Elephas maximus indicus: one gene and its partner. The protein of the gene in region 2 purifies or fractionates together with the protein of the main gene of each other region. This does not show direct contact. Links are inferred from orthologs where the notes say so. Each region holds a gene or a part of one and is shown on either strand. Other genes may lie near its edges.

Region 1 (7,587 bases), on a different chromosome or scaffold from region 2:
AGGAAAAGCTAGAGAATACGAGGGAAACGGCCCCCGTCGTCCCCCAAGTCTGCACCGGGAGAGGCCGTTCCTAGCCTGCGCACCGCCAAGGCGCGGCGATGGGGCCGGAGCGGGACCGCTCCTGCCTTTATCTCAGCTGTAACTTCCGAGTCTTGTCCAGCCGGCCCGCTAGGGAGGCCTAGGGGCTGACCAGGGCTCCCGCCTCTGCTACGGAGTTTCCGGCACAGGGCAGATAGGGTGGCTGGGCGGGGGGGAGGAGGGAGAAAAAAGTGGCAGGGGAGGAGCGGAGATGACTGAACGGCGAGTTTTCATGTCTTTATTATTATTATTATCATTATTAATAATATTAATATTATTACCGAAGTATTTCACGTCCAGAGCTAAGACAAGACTACAAACACAACACATAGAAAATTAATAAAATAGAACTTTGTTTTCTTCTGAGGCTCCTCTTCTTACTTCTAGGTAGTATGTGCTCCTTCCAGTGGCTTTGGGGAGGGGGTGGGAGAAACAACAGGTCTGGGGTCAGGGAGTCTTCGAGGCCCCGCTGAGGGGACAGCGAATCTACCATTGAACCGTGCACGGGGGACATAGACGACATGAGGAGACGCGACATGGACAAGAGCATTTTGCTCTGCTTCCAGGAAACATCAAGTGAATCAGGTCCTTGGTTCTCACGAGGGGTGCCAGATTCGGCCGCGGCGGTCTCCGCGGGGAGGCAGGGGGCGCCGGGTGCGGGGTGTGCTGGGGAAGCGCGACCTCCGAGCGCCTGGGCGGGACTTCTGTGGGCGGGGGCGTCCGGGAGAGCTCTGGGCCCGCCGGTTGTGGCGCGGGGAAGCAAACCCCCGGGCTCCCCCGCCTGCAGAGCGTCCTCGGGACTCTCCGACGCCGTGGGCTCCCTAAGTGCCTCTCCCTTCGCGTCACCCCTCCATATCCAGCGCCTTCACTCGGCGGGTTTTTCTTCTTCCTCCTCGGCACTGAGCTGAGACGCGCTGAGCAGTTTGCTCTCCTTTTTCCACTTCATGCGCCGATTCTGGAACCAGATCTTAATCTGCCTCTCTGTCAGGCACAGGGCGTGCGCGATCTCGATGCGCCGCCGCCGCGTCAGGTAGCGATTGTAGTGAAATTCCTTCTCCAGCTCCAGCGTCTGGTACCGCGTGTAGGTCTGGCGGCCTCGCCGGCCGCTGGGCCCAAAGGAGGAACCTGTTACGCAAAGAGGAGATGCTGAGGCCTGGGATCACCGGGCCGGAACCCCCTCCCCCATGGACCCTCAAACGTGGACTCCAGCCTGTCCCGGCATGCCCTCCACGCTCCTGGTCCCTGCCCCCTCCCCCAATCCTCCAGCGCCTCCTCCAGGTTCCCTGGGGGTGTCCCAGGCCTACGCCCTCCCTGTCTAGACTTTCGGTGGAGGAGCGGTTTGAACTCCCACCTGAGCCTAGGGGGAGGGGCTGGGAAGACGCTGGCCAGGTGTGTGTCTTCCTAGCCCCATCTTTCCTTTCCTTCCCTTTCCATCTGTCTAGCTCTCCCCCGCCCGCGCTGTGATAGATTCCGGCCCTTAATCTGTAATGACGTGGATCGATCCATAGGCAGCATTAACGGCTCCTCACTTTGGTGTCGCGCTAATGGACATCAATTTGGGACTTAAGGCGAACAAATAATCCAACCTGAAACCCAGGCGCCTGTTTCCCCCTCTGTCCCCCACTGCCCGCTCTCGTCCTTCCTCCTCTTCTCCCTCCTTCCTCTAGTTACCCCCCTTTCCTGGTGCCTCATCTTTCCCCAGCCTCCCACCCCCAGGGAAACAGTCTGGGACAGACTCCACTCTCCCTTGCCGGCGTCACGCCGCCCCCCCCGCATGACGCACGCCGTTTCTAATGGAGCGGTCCTTGGGTGGGGGACTCGACTAGGGTCTGGGGGCGCAAAGGAAAGCAAATCCAATGGCTGTGGCCCGGGCCCCCTTTGCTGACCCGGCATCCCCGTTCTGGCCTGGCGCTCTGGGAGAGCCCACTGCTCCTCCTGGCTCTGAGTCCAGCTGGGACTTTGCAAACTTTTTAACTCCTGAGGGGCGAGAAGACAGAGTGCAAAACCCGGTGCAGGCGCCCACCTTCCCCTATCCTAACTGAGATGCCCACCGGCAGCCTGTGGGGAAGTGAAAGGGACCTGGCTAGTACTGTCCCGGGGGTGAGGGCCCGCGGGTCCGGGCGGCGGCGGGCAGTCTCACTCACTATTGCACGAATTCATCCGCTGCATCCAGGGGTAGACCGGAGCGGAGCACTTCTGCTCCTCTGTCTCGCCGAACACGCTCTTGTCCTGCGCGCAGTCCGACTTCCGCGGCTCAGGGTGGAACGGGGGCTGCTCGTCGGCGCCCGAGAGTGCGCAGGCCGACTCCTTCTCGCGGTAGAAGGCCGGCGCCGGCCCGTAGTCGCAGGGCGCCGCGCGGCCATAGCCGCCGCCGGCCGGCGGGTAGTAGGAGGAAGCCGCAAAGCCCTTGTCCTGGCCCGGCCCCGGCCCATAGGGCGTGGGGTAGTGCCTCAGCGGATCTGCATAGCCAGACGAGTAGAGCGGTAGCTGGCCCAGGAAGGACTCCTGCCCGCTGGCCAGAGTGACTGGGAAGGTGGAGTTCACGAAATAGGAACTCATTGGGAGGGGAGGCGCGCGCGGCCGCTGCTGCTCCGCCGGGTTTATGATTTGTTGTGTTTTATAGTCCGAGCGCCGCGCCTATTAGTAGTATATCCGAGATTGGGTTTTAGCTGAGGGGGGATGGCGAGGTGCCAGTGAGGGCCAGAAGGAAATACAACCATCTGATCCAACACTGACCAATGGCAGAGGCAGGAATTGTCAAATAGCACCCAGGAGGAGCGCAGCCAGCACGAGGGACCCGCGCACAAACCTATCAACCTTTTTTTCTTCCTTCTTCTCCTTCTCTTTTCTCTCTCTCTCCCTCAACAACACAACGCGTCCTGTTCCACCTACGTAGGATGTGCGAAAGAGGCGTCTGTGCGTTTGAGGGAGGAGGAAGCATTTGGATCGAGACCACCCCATCCCCCAGTGATTAAATAAATATATGCCTCCCCCCCCCTCCACACACACACACACGCAGGATAGGAAAAAGTTCATTGTGTTTTCAGAAAAGTTAACCCCTGCGTTGCTTGGGGCCGTTCCCTCCAAGTAGGATTGGGTAAATGTCCCCAGTCTCCTCCAGAGCGAGATACAGGTTTGTTTCTAGGGTTTAGTGTTGGTAAAAGGCAGAAGAGTTCTCCGCTGTCTAATTAGCATCGCTTTCGGAAAGAGAGAGAAGAAGAAATACGCTTCGTTTCAGGTTTTGGAAATCTTGTCCCCCCCCCCCCCGCCTTGTTTATCAGATCTGCTCTCTCTTCTCCAAGCCCAGATTTATTATCATTCCTGCTTCCATAACTCTTATGATTTGAGGGAGACAGGCCAGAGCCCCCTGCCCAGAAGACTGGGAAATGGAAGGAGGGTCTGAGCCCAAGCTGCCCTCTCTGGGTCTGCTGCAAGACTAGGAGCCTTTTGGATGCCTTCAGATGGGGCTGTCGCTGCCCAAGACATCCCGCTGCTGTCATCAGGGGCAAGGGTACTGGGGAAAGGGACTAGGCATTCTCCCCACTTGGGGCTAGGGAGAGGAGGAGTGAGATGCCTTTATTTATTTGATCTCTATTCTGCCTTCTACCCTCACTCCACCCCTCACTCCTTACCCCAAATGACATGGGAATATTCTGGGCTACAGAGTCTTAGGAATCAAGACTGTCCCCACAAGTCTGGGTACAGGAAAGAAATTGCTGCTCCTTCAATTCCAGGTCTTCAAATCCTCCCAATATCTCAGGCAATCAGACACCACTGGGAGGAAAGTAGCCCTCACCCCTTTTCCAGGTCTCTCTAGAAGCTGGAAGTTCTTTTTAAAATCAATTCTTTCCTAAGACTTAGTTTTGGTTTAGTTTTATAAGGAGGGAGGAGTCATATTTCTCCCGGGGGACTCGGCAGGCAGCCACCAACTATCAGCCTGAATCCCCTCTCCAGACATTTACAATCCTTCTGTCTGCCTCTCAGCATCTCTACAATTCCCTCCCACACCCTGTTTGTATCACCAAGTTTGTATCACCAGATTTGCTGCTCTACAAGCTTAGAGGTGAGAGAGAGTGTGTGTCCCTGGCTCTCTCTCTCACCCAAGGAAAATGGGCATTGAGGCCAGGTGGGGGGTCTGGGCCATGATGCACTCTCAACATTCTAATATGAATGCAGAAACCTGGCAGTGAAGGGTGACAGGCTTATGACCTGGGGACAGGAAAGTGGCAAGGTGTGGGGCAAAGTCCACTGCTGGGCTAGACTGCCCCTCCGCTGCCTAGTTCTTTGGGCTCCTTTTTGTGGGCCAACTCTGCCCGCCAAAGATGGCACAAGACACTAGGGAAGGTGGTAGAGGACTGAGGTTGGGGAGACCAAGAATGGGGACTCGGTTGACTGCAAAGCGGTTTCCAGGGCTCCCTGAACTCAGGGCAACTTCTAGGCTGCAACTTCATGGCCAAGTGGCCATCCCTGGGTGGCCCTCCACCACTCCTTAATACTGGCTTTGGGGGTTTTGATGAGGATTTAAGAAAAGAAACCCAAACCCTCTAACGATGGAGAAGCATAACTGCTCCAATCTAGCTGTGCTTGGGCCCACTCCTAGGGAGGAATAGGGGCCATTTGGGCAGGGGGAGCAAGTGCCTCGGTGTATGTCCCCCCTCCCCCACGGCCCCCCACCCCTCTCTGCCACTGAAACTGGGCTCTGAGCCTCAGTCCTGCCTGCCTCCTCCCTGGCCACAATGCCCCCATCCTAGGACTAGAAGTTATGGGCTTCCCTGTGGGCTCTGGGCAAAGTAATATAATATATATTTGCGGGAGGGGACCTTCCCTTGTGGTATAAGCACAAAAATAATAGCCTTATCCTAAGAGTCGCAGCCCCCAAATTAACCTCACCTCTGCAGGTTGCCTGTCGCGAGATGGAGCCGCGTAGGCAGGGCTAAGGCGCCTGGAGTCGGGCATGAAAGGAAATAGCGCCTCATCGCTCTTATCTAAGCCCAGAGGTATTTATGAGCGTTTATTCGTCTGATCCGTTTGTTTGGGAGAAAGAGCAGGCGGGCAGGGCCCAGCCAGAGGCCGCCTGGCTTCTGGAGCCAGATCTCTACGAATCTGCCTGTGGTTCGGTCCACCGCAGTCAGTCTGTCTCCGCAGAGGAATATGTAAATACACAGTGGCCACTGCCGTCTGCCCCGCTGGGGAGCCTCTCCCTGCCTTGACTAGGAAGTGTGTGAATGGAGAAGTGAATATAAATGCATACCAATTCTTGAGTACACAACAGAAGGATTGTATAGATAGCCCACAGGCAGGATTTATAATTGTAATTTTCTGTGCTGCAAGTCCTGTGTGGCCCATACACATTCCAGCTCCCAGGGAAATGTCTCTTTAGTTGTGTTCGGCTCAGGAGTAAAATTCTCCTGTCCGGGTAACCACAGGGAGGTATATTTGCCTGTAAGTAGTTGGGGGGGGGGGTGGGTAGAGACATTTCCAGCCTTCCCATTTTCTCTGGCCTACAAAGCCCCCCCCCCAAGCTCTTTGGGTTGTGGTCCCTTCTCCACCCCACCCCAACTCCGGCTGGGGTGGGGAGATTAAAACCCATCAACCCAATCCTCCCCGAATTCTGATTCTCTGGTTTGGGGAACATAAATGTTCCCAGGGGGGAACAGTGTGCCTCTCTTAAAGGTTAGGATGCTCTTTGGATGGGATACTTCGCCTTAAAAAAGGCCCATGGAAAGAGCTGTACAAAGATCCTATTTCCATTATGCAAATAGGCGGCAGCATCTCAGATCTTCAGGGAGGAGCAGGCGGTGGCTATAGGCCCACTCACCCTGTCCTCTCCCCCTAGGTCCATGGGCACCTTAAAAGCCCTGAAGTGTTTCAAACCTCTGTACCAGCTGGGTTACCCCTCCCCACCGTCCTGCTGATTGTCCACAAGAAATCACCTCAGAGGGGCCCAAGTCCTTTCTGGCAGGCTCCCTCGGGGCCACCCGCAGGGCGCCTCCCTGGGCCGGTCTTCTAACTGCTATAAAGTCATTCCCACCACGGAAAAGCTGAAAGGGCTGCTCCTGCGGCCCAGACTCAAGGAGCGGCCGCGGGCGGAGGGCCGAAGCCGCTGCTCTTGCCCCCAGCACTGTCAGCTCCTGGGTCTTGGGAGTATCTCTAGCTCCGGCCAGACCCTTGTAACACCTTAGCCTGCCTGGCACCGCAGGCAATCTCCTGAAGCCCCCGCCCGGGACCTGAGCCACTGCACCTTGAAAGGAGCAGCCAGAGCTTGGTCTTGCGGCTTGAAAGCCCGAGCTAATCAGTAACCCGTGAGACAGGGGCCAATATTCAAACGCGGCACACAGGCGGGTATTCCCGCGCTCACCACCCCCTCTGCGAAAGCAGTCAGGTTAAGTGAGTGTGAGGGGTCCGGCAGGAACGGAAATTGCAATGGTTTGGTTCCTGAATAATTTCTCCTCACTCTCACTCCCAATTTTTTCCCATAAGTGTATTTGTGTCGATTTCGCTGGAAACGATCTGGAATGGGGGAGGGGCCGGACACTCACTCGCAGATACCAACAGTTTCCAGAACACTCGGTTCAATTCCTTCACCAAGGACCCACCAGCCAAGTAACTGGCAAGACCCGCCAGCCAACAGGGAGAACACAGACCTGGTTTGTCTTTTGACAACCAAGTGGAACTGCCGGGCCGGCGCCTCCCCTGCCGGCCCCTTCCCTTGGCCGAGAAGAAAACCAAATAAACCTTGAACAGCCTTGGCCTCGGATCTCCCCAGCGGCCTGACCCCCTCTCGCGCCCATGGGGGTGGAGGTGGGGGGACTTGCCACTCTTATCCCCAACGCTTTGGTTCAGGACCCCGCGCCCGCTGGATGTTGTATTAGACCTTTTTAAATGTGTCCCAGAAAAAGCCGCTTCCCCTGCCAGGTTTGGAGCTGGGATGGAGGTGGGGGTGCCTGTACTCCAATGCGCACCCAGTCGGCCAGGAAGCAAGATGCAGCGGAAAGCATCGCTCTGGCCCCGAAATCCCCGTAATCCGCCAAACCTGCCCGGCACCGGCTCCAGGCGGCGGGCGCCACTCGCGCAGCGTCGCGGGTTTGCAGCGCCGAAGCCGCGTGTCTCGGCACGGACAGTAGATGGCAGCAAACCGCATAATTTGGGTCAGAGAGCAAACTGTCTAAGAGACGATTTATAACCCACCAAGACTACAGGAGAAAAAGACCTTTAGTCTGGGTGGGTTTGGGAAATTTGTCCTTTGAGAATAGGCCTGAGAGCCGTGGGTGCTAGCCGAGAACTTCTCTCGCTACGCAGCCAAGGGATCCCTCGAGGCGCCCAGTCCCAGCCAGCGAGGAAGGCATCCACCTGGGCCCCCAGGTCCCCCTCCCGCGCTACAAGTGGCTGCGTCCCTCTCCGCCCACCTCTGCAATGAAAGACCAATAACCCTGTACACACACCCGGCACCCCGCAATCCTGGGGAAACCGGAATCCCGAGACTGAATGCCCTGTACCTGGTTTTAAGAA
Region 2 (7,993 bases):
ACCTTTTGATCGGAAGGATAATCAAGGATCATGTTATCCACATCTTTTTAATTGTGTAGCCTGTAACAATGAAGAACTACAAAAAAGCCTTAAATACTACGTGCATTAGCCACAAGATTTCCTAGTTCTAGAAAGTTAAATTTCTGCTAACATGCAGTAAAAAGACAATTAAAAGTATTGCATACTTTAAATTCACCCATTTAACTTATAGTGTACAGTGACTGCGGGGTTTACTTATTTTGGTCAAAGGATGGAAGCAGGTGTAGAGAGAAACACTGTACCCTTTGTCTGGTCATCTCTCACCATGTACCTGTATAGATTATTTTTCATAGTTGTACTTTATTACACTTATTTCTCCTGACTCATCTTCATAACAAATGACAAACGCATTGTTTTTCCCACTATACAGAAGACAATACAAAGCACATTAAACACAAACACCTAGCTGGTTAGTCAATATACTCCACTCCCATTTTCCAAACAGAACAAATCTGACCCACAAGATTAACATACCTAAAAATTTAAAGCCATTTTACACGATTTTAAGACACTACCAAAAGCTTTTCTTATTAGGCCAAATTCCAATGGACTAAACTACCTACGTATCTAAAGTTTACAGTAGACTATTCCAGTAAATACTGTACTCAACTATCATGATCTTGTTCCAAACCAGAGCTTAATGTTGGAGGACGCTATTTTGCCCACAGCTGCACTACCGTGTTACCCTGCAATTCACCATCTATTTTCGAAAAGGAAGGAGGGGAACACAATGTCATAAATTATCATAAAAAGTGTGCTGGCCTGAGCCATCAGAAAACTACTACTGCTAATACTTCTGCTACTACCCTCCACAATCAGTTTCCTCTAAACCATTGTTTCCTCATTTTTTTAAAGTAAAGGGGTTGGACTAGATTATCTCTAACATCTTTCTCACCTCTGAATGATTCTAAGTACTGCAGTAGATTTTATTGGCTTTAAGGATGGGACCTATCTTTCTCTGCATTGTTTCAAATGCAACCTGAGCAATACACTACCCTGAAACATCCAAATAGGTCAGTATAAAATGTCAATACAAATCTATCCTCAGACTCAAATAACGTAAATGGAAATAATAGTAGTGAGTGTCCATTTCTTTGGTATACATACTGAAGTGATTATATCTCTACCTGTGTAACTTCTTCCAGCCTGAGGTAAAAGAGAATCTGATCTTCAACTAACAGATAAATCTTAAATCCTTTAAAAGATGTTCCCATATAAAAGACTATCAGCTATCTGAACAGAGCCCAGGATCAAATAAATGCAATTTTCAGAAAAAACTAAATAAGATCTGTTTGTGGAAGGGAATAAATGGCAATGGGTACTTCTGCATAATTCAGTTGTCCTCACCTGTATAACTAAGTTTATAATCAGCCTCTAAAGCTGTTTTCCTTCTCCTACCTTAAGTTACTACTTCTTTCTCCAGATAAGATTTTTTAGCTTCCATCTCAGGGAGTGGACAAGAGAATTACAATAGAGCTGGCAGCTAACAAAGCTAACTCTTAATTTGCTGTCAGTATGGTATGTTTTACTCAGCTTTTGGGTTATATGGCTGCCTTTGAAGAATAAGATCCTGTAACGCCGCCTGTCTGTGGACCCAGGAAAAATAAACAGTTATTATGAAACCAGATCACTAGGACAAACCAAGAGGCCTTCCTATTCCAACTCACCACAACCAACTCTGGCTCTAAAGCAGACTCTTCAGCTGTCCCCTACTATCCGGAAAACAAAACGCCCTAGTTTAATTCTTCCTCACTAAGAAATTATTTGAAGATATATATGTACGTGCACATAAGGATAAAATATATTTGCCACCTTATAAGTTATTTATAATTGTATATGGATGTAAGATCAGGTCATCCAAAATCCTTCAGAGATGGAGAAGTGAAGGTTACTTCAGCAGCCACAATAGCTATGAAAAAAACCTGCAGCAGAACAACAATATGGAAAAGTACAGCTTCTCACGTGTCTCTCACATACACAAATACTTAGCTGAGCCCATTACAACCTTACCTCCCCAGAAAACTGCTTCCCTTCACCTCACAACTGGGAGAAATTTATCAACCTCCTAATCTTTCCCCAAGAGACTCATCTACCTATTATCTTACCCCTCCAGCTTTGGTCCCGCCCCCGCTTCAGGAACTGGCCCTAGTCAGATCCCCCCAAGCCTGGGTGTGCAAATGGGGAATCTAAACAGTTTCCTCCATCCTTAAGCATGTGAACCATGCCAGGATAATTTGCCATTCACCAACTCCGTGGACTCCGTGGTCCACCCACCCCCACGTGTCAGCTACCCTCCCCCACATTCCCACGCCTCATGATGAAAGCCGGGGAAAGAATGGGGACACTAGAAAGGCCAGGCCTTAAGGATCAACCCACAGGAATCGGTCCCACCGCAGATACCTCCCACCTTCGGCCCCTACCCTTTACAGTCCCTTCCTCCCTCCTTCCTCCGAAACCAGGCCCTTGCCTCGGAAACCTCCTCTTCCTCGTCGTCGTCCTCTTCTTCCTCGCTGTTGTTGCTGCTCGTGCCGCCGCCGCCTCCTCCTCCTCCGCCTCCACCGCCGCCGCTGTTGTCGCTGTCGCTTTCGCTGCTGCTGGGGGGCCGGCAAGTCCGGTTACGTTTGGCCTTGTGGTGTTGCTGCTGCGGCGGTTTTTTCTTCAGGAGTAGGTCGCAGACTCGCACCATCCCACGAGGAGACGAGGCCGAGCAAGCCCCGCCGCCGCCACCGCCGCCGCCAACCTCCGCCGCCACCGCGGGGGGGCCCGCCACAGCCACCACCGCCGGGGGGCTCCCTTCTCCCTCAGCCGCCGCCGCCGCCGGAACCGTCGCCTTCTCCATCCCCAGGGAAAGAGGGAGGGCGCGGACGGGGGAGGAGTGTGGGGGCTACGCTCTACCGTGACTTCGGCCGCACCGGGGCCCACACAGCACTCGGTGCCGCCTCTGCCGCCACCGCCTCGGTCACCTCTACTGCTACTGCTACTGCTGCTGCTACCGCTGCCGCTGCTGCTCCTGCCAACGCCGCCGCCGCCGCCGCTCCGCCAGCTCTCACCTCGTCTCGCGATACTAAGGGTGGGGAGCCTGACGATGGGAGGGAGGGAGCGTGAGGGAGCAAAGGTTGGGGGAGCAGGGAGGGGGAGCCCGTAGAGGCAGATGTGGGTGTCGAGAGACCCAGAGAAGGAGAGACTGGAAAGAGGCAGGGGAAGTGTGCCTAGGGGGGCTTCCGATGGGGGGACGGCGGGGACAGAGGGGGCCGATGTTACTGCCGTAGCGCCCGCGAGCGCGTGGATTGCATCTCTTCCCTCGCTGCTTCCCCCACACACAGCTTTTCAGCCCTCCCTTTTTCCTTCCTCGCTTGCGACTAGAACGCACCCGCAGGCGGAAGTGCAGGTGACGCCATCAGCCGTCGCCTGAGTGGTGGCGCGCGGTGGCCGAAAGGCGAAAGTGAGATTTCGAGGGCCTCCGTGGGAGGGTAGTGCTGTCGTGAGTAGGGCGGGCGGGGAAGTTGGAGAGGAGCGGGCCCCGGGCTGTGTGGGAAGCCGGTGCTGCAGCGCAGTCCGAGCGCTTTGTTAACTGGAGGCGGGATCGGCCAGATCCGGGAGGCGGAGCCTCATTCTGAGCTGCTGTACATACTTTTCATTTAATTCTTGGCAGTTTGTTTCGGCCTCCAAATCACGAATTAGGATTTTGGATTTTGAGAGATAGCGTCTTGTAAAGGAAAGAGGCTTCTTTGCTTAACGTTTAAGTCTTTGGATGTTAGACTTCCTGAACCTGAGTTTCCTCTTGTGTAATATGAAGGAGGTGGATGAGATGTCCAAGATCACTACAGATCCTCGTGATCTTCCTCTTCTTTCTTGCTGCTGTTGCTGCTTGTGTTGCCGCTGCCACCTCCTCCTCCACCACCACCGCTGTTACCGCTGCTGCGGGGGGGTGGGGGGGTGGGGGAAGGTGGTCTCAGAGGAAAAGAGGGATGTGTGCCACACTTTGGATACGGTTTACTGCATGACCCTGATTTAGCTCTTGCAGTTCAACATTTATCTGTGAAGTCGTCGTCTTAAATAATCATCCTTGCCTCTGTACATCTCTTGGAAGAAGTATTGAGATGGGGTTTGTGAGTTCATTTTTAGGTGTCCGAAGGACTTCTAGGATTTTTGAAATGATAGTGTATTGAACTCAGTTACTCCTTTTTGGTCTAGAATGAGCACAGTGGCATAAGGAAAAAGAAGCAAACATCAAAAGCAGATGTACTGGCTAAGAAACAAAGATAAAGTATGTCTCAGTTGACATAGTTGCCATTTTAAGAATGCTAAGTTTAGCTGAGTGTGCCTGAAATTTTTAGCATTTTTTTTTCTTCTAGCATTGGCATACCACATGAAATGTGGGTAGCTGCCAGTACTCTACAGAGTACCATGGCAGAATTGGCAATGATTGAATCAATTCATTCAAGCAAAAATTGATCATGTGCCTACTGTGTGTCAAGTACTTAGGAAATCAAAGTCTCTGCATTCAGAGACTTTATAGTGTAATAAGCGCTATCGTAAATAAGCATACAAAGTGCTAGCCATCTGCCTGTTCCTCTCCTTCAGTACTTGCTGAGTTCCAGTGTATAACAGTACACCACTTTGTGTATCTTACCATTACAGATTTATATCTTCTATAACCTCAGCTTGATCCCTCCCTCCTACTTTGTATATCCTTAAGCACCCTTTTCTCCTGTTCTACCAGAATACTTTTTACAGTCTTTAAATCTCAGCCTCATTTTATTATATATCACTTTACTTCCAACTTCAGAGAAGATTGAAACTGTTCGGCACAAAACTTCAATTTTCCAAATGTTAGAAACGAAATGCTTCCAGATCTTTCTTTTCTGCAGTATCAGAAGAATGAGAAATTCCCTCCTCTTAACCAAGATTAACTCTACATCCATACTCTAGTTCTAATCTCTTTCTCCTCCGTTAATTATCTTTTCCTTTCTACAGTTCTCCACATTTCTGGTTCGTTATCTCTCTGTAACATTCACTCTATGTCCTTTCCTTCACGATCAAACATCTTTAGAGAGTATACTACAGTTTATGTTTCTAACTTATTATCTGAAATTCACCCACCAACCCTCTGCAGTCTAACTTTTGTAGCTATCACTCTATCAGAAAGGCTCTATTTCAAGTAACCGCATTACTCAGAAGAAAATAAGTTCTGATTCTTATGCATATACCAAACCCATTGCCATGAAGTCATTTCTGATTCATTAATGGACGCTTTTACACATATAGTTAGACTAAATTCCCCAGCTTTCCTTACAATTAGGTATGGCCACATGATTGAGTTCTACCCAATGGAATGTAAACAAAAGTGATATGCTCATTTTCAGACTTCATAAACTCCTCCCATACAGGATTTTCCTTACTCTTTCCTCATCAGCTTGATACCATTGAGCATGTTGTTGTTGTTAGGTGCCCTCGAGTCACTTCCAACTCATGGTGACCCCATGCACAACAGAACGAAACACTGCCCTGTCCTGTGCCATCCTCACAATCGTCGTTATGCTTGAGCTCGTTGTTGCAGCCACCATGTCAGTCTACCACGTTGAAGGTCTTCCTCTTTTCCACTGATCTGTACTTTGCCAAGCACAATGTCTTTCTCCAGGGACTGATCCCTCCTGACAACATGTCCAAAGTATGTAAGATGCAGTCTCGACATCCTTGTATCTAAGGAGAATTCTGGTTGTACTTCTTCCAAGACAGATTTGTTCCTTCTTTTGGCAATCCATGGTATAATTCAATATTCTTCACCAACACAGCAATTCAAAGGCATCAGTTCTTCTTCCGTCTTCCTTATTCAGTGTCCAGCTTTCACATACCTATGGTGTGATTGAAAATACCATGGCTTGGGTCAGGTGCACCTTAGTCTTCAAAGTGACATCTTTGCTCTTCAACACTTTAAAGAGGTCCTTTGCTGCAGATTTACCCAGTGCAATGCGTTGTTTGATTTCTTGACTGCTGCTTCCGTGGCTGCTGATTGTAGATCCAAGTAAAACGAAATCCTTGACCACTTCAATCTTTTCTCCGTTTATCATGATATTTCTCATTGGTCCAGTTGTGAGGATTTTTGTTTTCTTTATGTTGAGGTGCAATCCATACTGAATGCTGTGGTCTTTGATCTTCATTAGTAAGTGCTTCAAGTCCTTTTCACTTTCAGCAAGCAAGGTTGTGTCCCTGCATAACACCAGTTGTTAATGAGTCTTCCTCCAATCCTGATGCCCTGTTCTTCATATAGTCCAGCTTCTCGGATGATTTGTTCAGCATACAGATTGAATAGGTATGGTGAAACGATACAACCCTGACACGCACCTTTCCTAACTTTAAACCAATCAGTATACCCTTGTTCCATTCGAACAACTGCCTCTTGATCTATGTAAAGGTTCCTCATGAGCACAATTAAGTGTTCTGGAATTCACATTCTTCGAAATCTTATCCATAAATTGCTGTGATCCACAGAGTCGAATGCCTTTGCATAGTCAATAAAACACAGGTAAACATCCTTCTGGTATTCTCTCCTTTCAGCCAGGATCCATCTGACATCACCAATGATATCCCTGGTTCCATGTCCTCTTCTGAAACCAGCCTGAATTTCTGGCAGTTCCCTGTCGATATACTGCTGCAGCCGTTTTTGAATGATCTTCAGCAAAATTTTGCTTGTGTGTGATAATAATGATATTGTTCTATAATTTCCACATTCAGTTGGATCACCTTTCTTGGGAATATGCATAAATATGGATCTTTTCCAGTCAGTTGGCCAGGAAGCTGTCTTCCATATTTCTTGGCATAGACGAGTGAGCACCTCCAGTGCTACATCTGTTTGTTGGAACATCTCAAGTGATATTCCGTCAATTCCTGGAGCCTTGTTTTTCATCAATGCCTTCAATGCAGCTTGGACTTCTTCCTTTGATACCATCATATGCTACCTTTTGAAATGGTTGAAGGTTGACTATTTCTTTTTGGTATAATGACTGTGTATTCCTTCCATCTTCTTTTGATGCTTCCTGCGTCATTTAATATTTTCCCCATAGAATCCTTCACTATTGGAACTCAAGGCTTGAATTTTTTCTTCAGTTCTTTCAGCTTGAGAAAGGCCAAGTGTGTTCTTCCCTTTTGGTTTTCTATCTCCAGCTCTTTGCACACCAGTGAGCACAGTGACCTTGTAAAGTATATGTTGACGATGCTAGAGTCGGATGAGAGAATGAGCATGGTGGCTGAATCACTACTTGGAAGAGAGCTACCCACCAATTAGAAGCACCCTTTTTTGGACTCCTCGTGAAAGAGAAAAATTGAAATTTGAGAACTTTATCTGTTACAGGAGCTAGAATGACCACGACTAATCCAGAAGTTGGTACAGGAAGTTGGGTACTGCTAAGAAAATAACCTAAAATATTTGGCATTGGCTTGATAATGATTCAACAGGTGATGGGGAAACTTAGATTGAGGGTGGAGGAAAGAAGCCCATGTATTGTAGGGGCAAAGTAATTGTAAAACTATCACCCGTGATTATTGAAAAGCAGACCACATATCTGCTGACACTGTAGCTTTAGAGGAAATGGTCGAAAAATAGTCAAAGTAATGGTGTGTGTTGCTTTTTACATTTTACTTTTAACCAAGTTTTACAAGTAAGAGCTAAGCTCAGGAAATAATTGGCAGAAATGAAAGGGAATAGAAAGTGTGCAGGGATATGTGCAACTGGAAGAGTTGGAAAAGCTGACTTTCTAGACCTCAGACAGTAAAAATGGAACTGGAAGAGACCTTGAGTACAGTTTCCTTATGATTTAGTCCTGCAACAAAGATCAGATCAAGGGTTTGGTCTTCCTAACCAAGTCCATTGTTTCAGATGGCTTCAAGATGGCTGTAATAAAGTTTAGAGAGAAACTAGCATGAGGCAAAGAACTAAATCAGGCTTGAGAATTAT

What was found. Proteins that work in one complex are often made in the same cells at the same time.
Region 1: the proteins of ANKRD17 (region 2) and HOXB6 purify together in Homo sapiens (co-immunoprecipitation; 3 studies listed by BioGRID and IntAct, with this or other methods). This does not show direct contact. The link is inferred for Elephas maximus indicus from reciprocal best matches to the Homo sapiens genes ANKRD17 and HOXB6.

The regions. Positions count from the first base shown.
Region 1 is NC_064837.1:44,923,329-44,930,915, reverse strand, and holds HOXB6 (homeobox protein Hox-B6), read right to left. Parts: upstream 3,004-7,587; 5' UTR 2,638-3,003; coding exon 2,223-2,637; intron 1,204-2,222; coding exon 944-1,203; 3' UTR 316-943; downstream 1-315. UniProt on the Homo sapiens protein: Sequence-specific transcription factor which is part of a developmental regulatory system that provides cells with specific positional identities on the anterior-posterior axis.
Region 2 is NC_064823.1:84,411,415-84,419,407, reverse strand, and holds the start of ANKRD17 (ankyrin repeat domain-containing protein 17), read right to left. Parts: upstream 3,083-7,993; 5' UTR 2,879-3,082; coding exon 2,507-2,878; intron 1-2,506. Other genes in the region: uncharacterized protein LOC126076716, read left to right, coding at 3,191-3,427.